Linked DNA regions of Cricetulus griseus. The protein of the gene in region 1 binds, or shares a complex with, the protein of each later gene. Links are inferred from orthologs where the notes say so. Each region holds a gene or a part of one and is shown on either strand. Other genes may lie near its edges.

Region 1 (5,142 bases):
GCCAACAGTGTTTTATTCATTAACCAATAAAAGAAACACAAGAAGGACTTTCCCCCTCAAGGCCATCCTATAGCTTAGCTTTCAAAAAAGAAATAGGAACCACAGGGAAAATTTTGTGGTGACCCAAGTGACAGGGGTGATAGAAGGCCTGGAAGCCCCACAGGTGACAGCGAAGTAAACCATGAATTCACAAAAGGGCTGGAACCACAGCATCATCAGCTGCTCCATTAGCAGAAGAAAGAACTGAGGAGGAAGGGAGGGAGGCAGAAGTAACTAGGCTTTCTTTTTTTCTTACTTTCCAGACCCCAATGCTATCTCCCAATACCCAGTCCAGGCCTGAAGCCTCCTGCCTTCAGTCAGCCCTCTGCAAAGCAGACCCCAGAACACCCAGGGGACCTGGTGCTTGGGCAAAAAGCAAAGAACAGCCTTTAGATAGGAAATAGCTTCATTTGGAATGTTGTCAAGTACTGGATACACATCAAAGTAACGAAACTTTCCTTAATTCCTTATATTGTAGCCATCAGTATGTGGTTGCAGCACACACCTTTATCTTATTACTATTTTTTTATCGGTGTTTCGATACAGGGTTTCTCTGTGTAACAGCCCTGGCTGTCCTAGAACTCACTCTGTAGACCAGGCTGGTCTCCAACTCAGAGATCGGCCTGTGTCTGCCTCCCAAATGCTGGGATTAATGGCATGCACCACCACCCAGCTAGGATGCTTTAATCCTAGCAGTTGGAAAACAGGGAAGAGGAAGAGTTCCAGGGCAACTAGGGTTACACAAGTTCCAGGTCAGACAGACTACAAAGCAAGTTACTTTCTCAACAAAATGAAGGCTGGTGATACAGTGGTGGAATGCTGGGCATGCCCAAGATACACACACACAAAACACTGTTAAGAACACAGTTTACTTCTTTTCTTCTGTTCCTTAGCCTTCTAGATCATCACGAATTATTATTACTGATTCTGGGCTGATTTAGTAGCATTTTAAATCAGAATTTTTAGTGCCAGACATTTTTGCTGTTCTTCAGCTGAAATCCAGTGTGTGGGGGGAGGTGGGGGGAGGGGGAAGGGATGAGGTGTTCCATAGAAGAGTAAGCGCCCATTGTAACAGCCTCCACCCAGGGCACGAATGCCAGGCAGCGGCGCCATGGCAACCGCATCCCGGTCTTGGAGGTTCTCAAGGGATTTGTTGTGTCCTGGGAAAAGGCCACATAGGCTGGACTCACGTTTTTAAAAAACGGAAATGATATCCACCGGGAAGAGGTTTACACAGGCCCACACGCCACACCAGTCCTCTTTATCTAGAATCTTTGTTTAGGAGGATCCAAAATGATTTTGTTTTTTTTTTTTGCGAGTGTATAAACTAGTAAAAAGAAACAAGGCGCAAAGCAAATTAGAAGAGATGCTTTCGTCTCGATTCTGAGCCTAGGTCCTTCCCACACCCGCGCCGCTCTTTTTCCGTCGGGATGCTAGTCGACGGAAAACCAAAAAGCAAAATGCCGAGCTTCCCCGCGGCGCACTCTCTCTCCCTGCCAGCGGCAGGTGGGGCTGCCCTGCTGGGTCTCCAAGGCTGCGGACGCCCCTCCCACGCCGACTCGGGGCTTCTCCGCTACATAAAGCAGCCAGAGACTCCGCGAAGCCCGGGGTTCTGGCCCAGACGCGTGCCTGGGGCGGGGCTGGAAGTAGGCTCTCGCGTGATTGGTCAGCCGGGCCAGAAGGCGGGGCTGCCGGACGGACGCTGACAATGAGCCTCCATAAAAGGGAGCGGCGGGGTCGGGGGCCCCGGATCGAGCCCTCCCCGCCTGGGGTCGTGACGCGCTGAAACCCGTGGCTGGCCGGCCGGGCGGGCGGGCGGGCGGCGGGTGAGCTAGACGGTCCGCGGGCCCTGCGTGGTCCGGGGCGGGAGGCGGCCGCCAGTGGCGGCGCGCCGAGGCCTGCGCGCCCGTCCTCCGCTATCGGGTCGCCCTTCTCCGCCTCGCCATGGCCCTGAGAACAGAGGGCGCCGCGGCGCTCGACTGCTTTGAGGTGACGCTCAAGTGTGAGGAAGGGGAGGACGACGAGGAGGCAGTGGTGGTTGCCGTGATCCCGCGGCCCGAGCCGATGCTCCGAGGTAAGGAGGAGGGGGATCTCACTTCCGCATGGCGGCCAGGGGCTCGGCCCCCTGTTCCAGATCTCCGGTCCCCAGGCACGGTCCGGGCCAGCGGCGGTAGCCCCGGCGGGTCCTTCCTGGTCGGGTCCACGGCGGGCGCGCTCCCGCGCTCCTCCCCCACCGGGGTTTGGAATCCCAGGCCTCTCGGAGCCCCCTCCCTCCGCCACCCCTCCCCCGCTCAGGGTCTGGAGACTTCCATCCACACCGAATGAGCGCTTCGGGTCTTCCGGTTCCCTGCGCCCCCTGGGCCCAGCGTAGAGGCCGGATTCCCAGGACCGTGGTTTGTGCGTTGCCGCCGTCTCCCGGTTTCGGCCTGACTGTGTCCTAGGCCGAGGGGCGACCAGGCCTCTAGGCCCCACTCTGATCGCCGTGGCGTTAACGGGGGTGAAAGCTATCGGGACTGGTAATCTCCCGGGAAGAGAATTTGAAGAGCCCTGCCAAGTAGAACCCGTCCTACCCCCATCCCCAGGCCTTCTCTCGAAGGAGCCACAGGTGTCAGTTCTAGAACCTGGCCGTTGAATGGAACTGCAAGCAGCACCCGGTTTGAGAAAAGCGGGACTTGTTTGGGGGGTGGTACTAAGCCATCTACATGGAGATTAGTCGCCAAAGGAGGTATTTGAGGGACAATCTGGAAATACTGGCTTTCCCCTCCCCTTCTTCCTTTCTTTGGTCCAAAGGAGAAAACAAAGAGCTACCTTTGTGGAAGACTATTAGTCATGAAAATGCAAATATTTCCTTATGGTGGACTACCTGTTTCCCTTAAACAAGACAGTACCCAAAAGAAATTAAGTACTAAGGCGTTTGCTGTGCTTCTTGAACTTCAGGGATGTCTGCGCTCCTTCTCCCTTTTGGAGATGGGAGGGTTAGAAATAAAGGCCACATTCCTCTCAGTGTTTGCATCACACAGGTTATTTTCTGCTTGTGCTGGTTTATGGAGTGCTTGCTCTGCTATTGTCAAATGCTCGAAGTTAATCCACTCAACAGCTCTGCCAGGGTGGCCTCATCACGGTTAAAAGGAAATAGACATCTACAGAGGTTCATTCATTCAACTATATTTATTGGGCAATTATATGCCAAGCATTGTTTCAGGTGCAGGGGGAAGTTTGGGGGAATGGTAACAGCGGTGAGCAGGGTAAATGAAACCCTGCTTTGAACGTATATCACAGTGACAGCCAACAGGTTAATTGTGTAGCACGAATAATAACAACCCAGAGATAGATATTATTGGGGAAAACTGAAAGATTAGAGAAGCAAATCACCAAAGCCACTAGAAAGTTCTTAACCTCTACCAAGGCTAAGACCAAAAGGGTCCATCCTGGCCTCAGGCGACTGAAGACTGAATACACCACACTCCTGCCCCTACTGCCTTCTATTCCTCTCTAGTGCTGGGATTAAAGGTGTGCACCACCACCATCCAGCTTCTGTGGCTGACTAGTGTGGCTAGCTTTGCAAGATGATCTTCAGGCAAGCTTTGTTAGATAATCAAAATATCACCACAAAATTGAACTACAGTGTGTTCGATGGCAATGACTTCTTTTTTATTTTGTGTGTCATAACATACAGGAAGAGGTCAGGACTCCTTTTTGTTTGTTTGTTATTTTGAGACAGGGTTTCTCTGTAGCTTTGGAGACTGTATTGGAACTTGCTCTGTAGATCAAGCTGGCCTTGAACTCACAGAGATCTGCCTGCCTCTGCCTTGAGTGCTGGGATCAAAGGTGTGCACCACCATGTGAGAATGAAATTGGGCTCATCAGGTTTGGCAGCATGAGCTTTTACCAACCCATCCATCTCCTTGGCCCAGCAATCAGTTGTTTAGGGAACACAAAGGTGAAATAGAGAAGTGGGGGTGTAGTAAGAATTTTGTTTGTATTGAGTGGTTAGGAAAAGTGTCTCTAGTAAGGATGGGGCAATGGCGGCACACACCTTTAATCCCAGCACTATACAAAGAAACTGTCTTGGAAAACAAAATAACAAAAGAATTGATGGAAGAGGTCTTAGGAGAGCAAGTACAAAGATTCTAGAGGCTGGCACAAGGTTCTAGAAAGATCTGAGGCATGAGAAAGTAGATGAATTCAAAGCTTTGTTCTTTGGGCTCAGCATGGTGGCACACACCTTTAATTCTGTCACTAATTTGGCAGAGGTAGGAAGACTTCTGAGTTTCAGGTCATCCTAGTCTATCTAGTGAGTTGCAGGCCATCTGGAGCTATAGTTAGTGTTTTAAAGAAGAAAGAAAAGGGATTTTTTTGTTTTGTTTTTGTCTTAGTTGCTTTTCTTTTGTGACAAACATCATGACCAAGGCAACCTGTTTGTGGGACTTAGCATATACCTTTAATCCCAGAGCTTGGAAGGCAGAAGACAAGTGTTGCTGTGCCTTCCCAACCCCAAATGAACACACAGAGGCTTGCTATATTATTAAACTGTTGGCCAGTGCTTAGGGCTTCTATTGGCTATCTCTGTCTTAATTTTTTGTTGTTGTTTGTTTGTTTGAGACAGGGTTTCTCTGCATTGCTTTGGAGGTTGTCCTGGAACTCTGTAGACCAGGCTGGCCTCGAACTCATAGAGATCTGCCTGCCTCTGCCTCCCGAGTGTTGAGATTAAAGGCTTATGCCACCAATGCCTGGCCTGTCTTAATTATTAATCCATTTCTATAAATTGAAGTATTTCCATGTGGTCTTGGTTTACCGAAGAATGCCCAGACCTTTTTCTCCTTTGGCCACTACATGTCATCTGTTTTTGGCAAGCTCCCTCTGCCTACCTCTCCCAGAATTCTCCTAGTCTGGTAGCCCCACCTATCCTTCCTGCCTGGCCACTAGCCAAACAGTGTTTTACTCATTAACCAATAAGAGAAACATATATACAGAAGGATATCCCCCATCAGACAAGCTGGTAGATCTCAGAATCCAAGGCTAGCCTGGTCTATAGAGGATAGCGAGGGTTACACACACAGGAAAGCTTTCTCAGGGGGAAAAAATGAATTGGGAGCTTAGAGT
Region 2 (5,224 bases), about 220 Mb from region 1:
TCTCAAGGACATAATGTTTTTAGTCTTGAGCTGTTTTGCACTTCTTTCTGGGCTTACCCAGCCCATCTGTAGACAAGTGGCCTTGGAGGATGCTTTTAGTCAAACATGCTTAAAAGTCTGGAATGGTGAGCTCTCAGTGAGCTGGAACAGCACGTGACAATGACCATGCCCACCGGCTTGTAGCTGGGTGCTGAGGATCTGAACTCTGATCTTCACACTGGCGCAGCAAGGGCTTTAGCCACTGAACCATCTCACTAACTGTCTAAATGTTTGATGTTTGGTGTAACTCCTTAAAAGTGAATAAAAAGAATTTAACCCCACCCTATCCCCAATGCCTGCTATTTTCAGAGGTTCTATGGTCTAACACCCACAGGTGACTGAGTATTCCCAGGAATTCCCACAGTCCTCTGTGACAAATAGGGTTGATTCCCAACTACTGTCTAGGGAGTAGCCTGGCATTGAAATAGATTTGATCCCTGCCCTTTGGCCTTTATCATGGGGTGAAGGCCCAGGAAATAGAAAAGCAAACAAACCAACACTGGCATAACTGATGGGATCAGTGCCGTCCAATACAGGTGAGAGAAGTGGGGAGGATGATCCAATCCCGAGCCAGCGTCTCTGAGGAAAACACTTAGACACATTGATTGGTGCACTTGTGCAGAAAGTAACCTGAAGGGTGGTGGCCCTATACCAGGGGACACAGGAAGCCAGCGAGGTGGCAGGAATGGCTGACCGTGCTATCACTGTGTCCATCTTAGAGTTCTCCACTCAGTAAACATTCCCCACCACCGTGAAATGTTCACAGAACACAGCATAGACATTCTTGAACATGCACACTAAGCATCCCCTCCTGGGGATGGTGCCTCCAGATCTCTTGTGGTTCCCTTGACATGTCTGGTCAGGATGTGGAAGGGCTGTGGCTCTCTTTACTCAGCAGTGATGTTGGGAGGTGTCTTAGGGTTTCTATTGCTGTGAAGAGACACTGTGACAATGGTGACTCTTATATAGGGAAACATTTAATTGGGGCTGGCTTATAGTTCAGAGGTTTAGTCCTTTATTGTCATGGCGGGAAACATGGTGGCAGCAGGCAGACATGGTGCTGGAGAAGCTGGGAGTTCTACATCTTGATCTGCAGGCAGCAGCAAATGAATTGAGTCACTAGGCCTGGCTTGAACTTCTGAGACCTCAAAGCCCACCCCCGTGACACACCAAGGCCACACCTCCTAAGGGTGTCATTCCTAGTGACCAAGCATTCAACCATATAAGTCTATGGGGGACATTCCTATTCACCACAGGAACGAAGCCTGGAGGGGTTGGCAACTGTATCTTGTGCCTGCAGGATCTCTAGTTGCCAGATATTAAGCTATGACAGAAAATGACTGTGTTGGGCTGGGGATATAGCTCAGGGTGGGGACTACATGCATGAAACCTTGGGTTCACTCCAGCACCGCATACACCAGGTGTGGCAGAACACACCTGTAATCCAGCTCCACCATAGCACAAACCATGCTAGCAAGAACACTGGGGCGGTAAGCTCACTTGGTTTTTATTCTAAGGCAGGTGGAGGTTGTGTCTTTTTCCTATAGGCTGGGGTCTGATCTCACAGTCTTTCATGACTGGCTAGCTTTAAAAGAATTAGCACAAAGGATATGAAGGAAATGGGTGAGACCATTAATTTCCAGGAATATAGCAGACCTAAAACAAGTTTTACAAGATGGGAAATTTATGGAATTTTGGCCTTCATGATTCTCTAGGTTCTCAGCAAGCAGGGGCAAGAGGAGGCTCCATTTTCTTCCCATGGCCCCTCATTATTATTATTATATCTTGCCTCTATAGGACACGCCTGGGGATCAATTTTTAAAATTAAGGAATCCATCTACAGGTCCTAACTGGTCTTCAGTAGTCATCGATGAACCCTTTAATTACCCAGTTTTTGCCCCCTTTGATTGGAAATGTGGATCAAGATCAACTGAGTAGCAGAGACTTTCTTCCAAATCAACTTTCCAGCGTTGGGATGACAGGCTGGTGAAGGGAGGACTATCTACATCTTTCCGGAAACGGATGGAGATCTCCCTAGCACGCAGAACCTGTTCTCTTCTCTCCTTATAGTTCCTTCCTTGCAGTCGTGACAATCGATGACTATCGTGGCTTTGGAGGTTTGTGTCTGCCTGCAGATGGAGTTATAATGAAGTTAGAAGTTGTATGACGTCACCCTGGCAGCCATCTTAGACTGACACTACTTCCCGACAGCCTACTTGAAGGACTTTGGGCTCACGTGTATCCTGTTCTCAAGGACATCCAAGCTCAGGGCTGGTTGGTGAGTCTTGGGGATGGGACTCTGAGCATGTCCCTGGGGGCATTATCTTAACCGAGGAGAGGAGAGCTGCTCTCTGTGGGTGGAACCATTTCTTGGTTGGATCATTGCACTCTTATTTCTGACTGGGACTAAAAGTTTCAGGTTCCTTCCACTGACTTCCCCATCTTGATGGAACTCTACCTCAAACTGTGAACTGAAACAAACCCTCCTTTCTTAAGCTGCTTTTGTTGGAGTATTTTATCACAGCAACAGAAAATTAAGTAAGGCAGCTGGGGGACACCCAGGGTTAACACCTTCTCTCAGCAGAGCTTTCATCTGGATAGTGGAGACATGGCAGAGGACAGACACAAGGGTGCTTACAGGAGAAGACCTGGAAGACTGAGGAAATAGAGGCTGTTAATCCCACCAGATGCGAATAAGATCACTACCACAATTCCTGAGCCAAATTTGAAGCAGGCTTTATTACATATTGTCCAGGACAATGAATACTGGCCAGGTCCATATCCAGGACTCCCAGAGAATGGCACTGTTTTATAGATCTCTTAAGCACAGTAATTTAAACCTAAAACACAACTTTAGTTATCACAAGGCCTTGGGCACACATCCTAATCTCCTCCAGCCTCCTATGACACCAAGTGTGACAGGTAGCTGGAGAGGATCCTGCTAGGGCTGGCTACGCCCAATTATGTCTGATCCCAACTTTCTTCCACTGAGGCCTTCTGAGCTTTTTGATCACCTAGACAGGTTATGGTGGCCCAATGACTTCCACACAGAACCCACCGTGCTTGTATAATGAGTGTTAGAGAAACCCTGAGTTGCTTTGGGGAAGCGGCTCAGTTGACAGAGATTACCTGGCATTCACGATGTCCTGGGACGCATCCCCAGTAGTGAATACACTTGGTGTGGTGCTGTACACCTGTGACCCCAAATCTTTGAGGATAGAAGCATCTGCAATGGAAGTTCAAGGTCTGCGTTGGTTACGTAAGGAGTTAGAGGCACAGCCTTGGACTGTGAGACTGTCAGAAAAAGCAATCAAGCAAGCAGCCTATGAGAAGAGGTTCTAGATCCAAGCACTGTTCTGAACCAAACATGTCTGGCCCTACCATATGTCCAGGTTATACTTGTGGCTAGAGAAAAGGCAATGTCATACAGAAAATACCTTAGTGATTCAGAATCCATGTTTGCCTTATAGAGCTTGCTGTGCTCAGTCAGTCAGCTGCAATCTGTGGAAGCTCAGCTGGGGAGTAGCTGACATTCGCTTGCAAACAGGGCATACTCACGTTAGGTTACACCTTGTTCACATGTCAAGCGAGGTGCAGTTGACAATTCTGGAGGCTGCTTTAAGTCAAACTTTCCTTATCCTTAGTATAGAGGTGGGTATAGGCCAAGCCTAGTTTAGCAAGAGCATATTGGTTGTGGCTCTAAGAATGCTGTTCCTAGTGACCTATACAGGCTCAACAGAACTGTCTCTGTTCTTGGGAGACCACTGTGATGCCACAATTCTCTAGTGAGAGGGGCTTGTGAATCTATAGTTGCTGGTGCCAGTCGTGGAGCTAGCAGGAACTCCTGTAAGTCATCCTGTAACTGAGAATACTTGTCAGCTGGTGAAACAGACTAGAACTGCTGCCAGCCGCCCAAGGAGTTCACTTATCCTTACGAGGCCCCTCAGGAATGTAAAGCAGGATCCTTGACTTCACTGCAGAAAAGAATTTTAAGATGAGCCAGTAGGAAGCAAAATCAGAGCTTATTCGATTTTATATATAACATTTTAAATTTTATGTTATTTGGGTCCGTGTGAATGGCACAGTGCAGGTGTGGTGGTCAGATGACAACACTAGGAAGCTGTTTTTCTCTTTTCAACATGTAGGTTCCAGATCAAACTCAGGCTGCCTCCACCTCCTGAGTGCTGGTATTAAAGGGGTGTGCCACCACTCCCCACAAAACGTCCAATTTGAGTTGGATGTGGTGGTATATGCTTGTCATTCCAGCTCTTGGGAGGTGGAGGCAGGTGGATGAGGAAGGGGTTTAAGATGGCCAAGATGGCTACATAAAAAAAAGTTCAGGCCAGCCTGGGCTATACAAGACCTTGTTTCAAAAAAACAAACACAAACAAACAAACAAGCAAACAAGCAAAGCCTGTCCCCAGATCCCATTTAGGCATTCACCTCTCTAGGATGTGGCTTATATACTTTTGACAGTTTGCTGGAGACAATCAGCAGAGGTGAGTTTTTAAACCAGGGCTTGGGAAGACAGAGAAGGTTAGGCTTGGAGGATTTGGTTGACCAGTATTGAGGGGGAGCATCTGCCAGTGGCCGCAGGTGGGTAGAAGCCATGGATGCTGCCAAACACCCTACAGAGCACAGGGGAATCATCCTTAAAACCCAGTCATCCAGCCAGGCATTGGAGAGGCTTACACAGGAATATCTTAAGTTAAAGGCCTGCCTGGTTTACCTAACACATTCTAGGTCAGCTAGACAGTGAGACCTTGCTTCAAGCAAAACAACCCAAAACTCTATTCCTCCCAATCACCAGGTCACAAGTGTCAACACTGCCAGGCAGATGTGATGTCTATTCTTGGTTGCCAACTTGACTACATCTGGAACTAACTGAAACCCCAAAAAATTGCTGGGGACACCCATGAGGGGTTCTTGCTTAATTAAATCATTTCAGATCTCTGAGGTGAGAAGATACAACTTTAATCTGGATCTTTTGAGGGAGGAAGATAAACCTTTAATCTGTGGCACACCTGCTGGCAGCCTATTTAAAGGACATGGAAGAAGGAAGCTTGCTGTCTTTGCCTGCTTGTTCTTGCTTCCACTAGCAAGTCCAGTGCTTCACTGACATTAGATTCCAGTGTACGCTGAAGACCAGCTGAGACATGCAGCCTTGTGAACTGAGCAACTACTG

The links.
Region 2: the proteins of Spindoc (region 1) and Spin1 are in contact, whole or in part, in a crystal structure (PDB 7CNA), measured with the Homo sapiens proteins. The link is inferred for Cricetulus griseus from reciprocal best matches to the Homo sapiens genes SPINDOC and SPIN1. Residues at the interface, in NP_612480.1 of Homo sapiens: Phe256, Ala258, Pro259, Ala260, Val262, His264, Phe265, Thr266, Asp267, Ser269, Phe270, Pro271, Gly273, Phe274, Val275, Leu276, Gln277, Leu278, Phe279, Ser280; in NP_006708.2 of Homo sapiens: Met154, Thr169, Tyr170, Glu171, Pro174, Pro206, Val209, Val210, Leu213, Lys216, Gln217, Val218, Glu219, Tyr220, Thr229, Val232, Val242, Tyr243, Ile245, Phe247, Asp249, Asp250, Tyr254, Val255, Tyr256, Asp257, Leu258, Val259, Lys260, Thr261.

What each region holds. Positions count from the first base shown.
Region 1 is NC_048596.1:52,070,108-52,075,249, forward strand, and holds the start of Spindoc (spindlin interactor and repressor of chromatin-binding protein), read left to right. Parts: upstream 1-1,745; 5' UTR 1,746-1,983; coding exon 1,984-2,113; intron 2,114-5,142. UniProt on the Homo sapiens protein: Chromatin protein that stabilizes SPIN1 and enhances its association with histone H3 trimethylated at both 'Lys-4' and 'Lys-9' (H3K4me3K9me3).
Region 2 is NC_048596.1:270,012,544-270,017,767, forward strand, and holds the start of Spin1 (spindlin-1), read left to right. Parts: upstream 1-2,156; 5' UTR 2,157-2,317; intron 2,318-2,610; exon of another isoform or gene 2,611-5,224. UniProt on the Homo sapiens protein: Chromatin reader that specifically recognizes and binds histone H3 both trimethylated at 'Lys-4' and 'Lys-9' (H3K4me3K9me3) and is involved in piRNA-mediated retrotransposon silencing during spermatogenesis.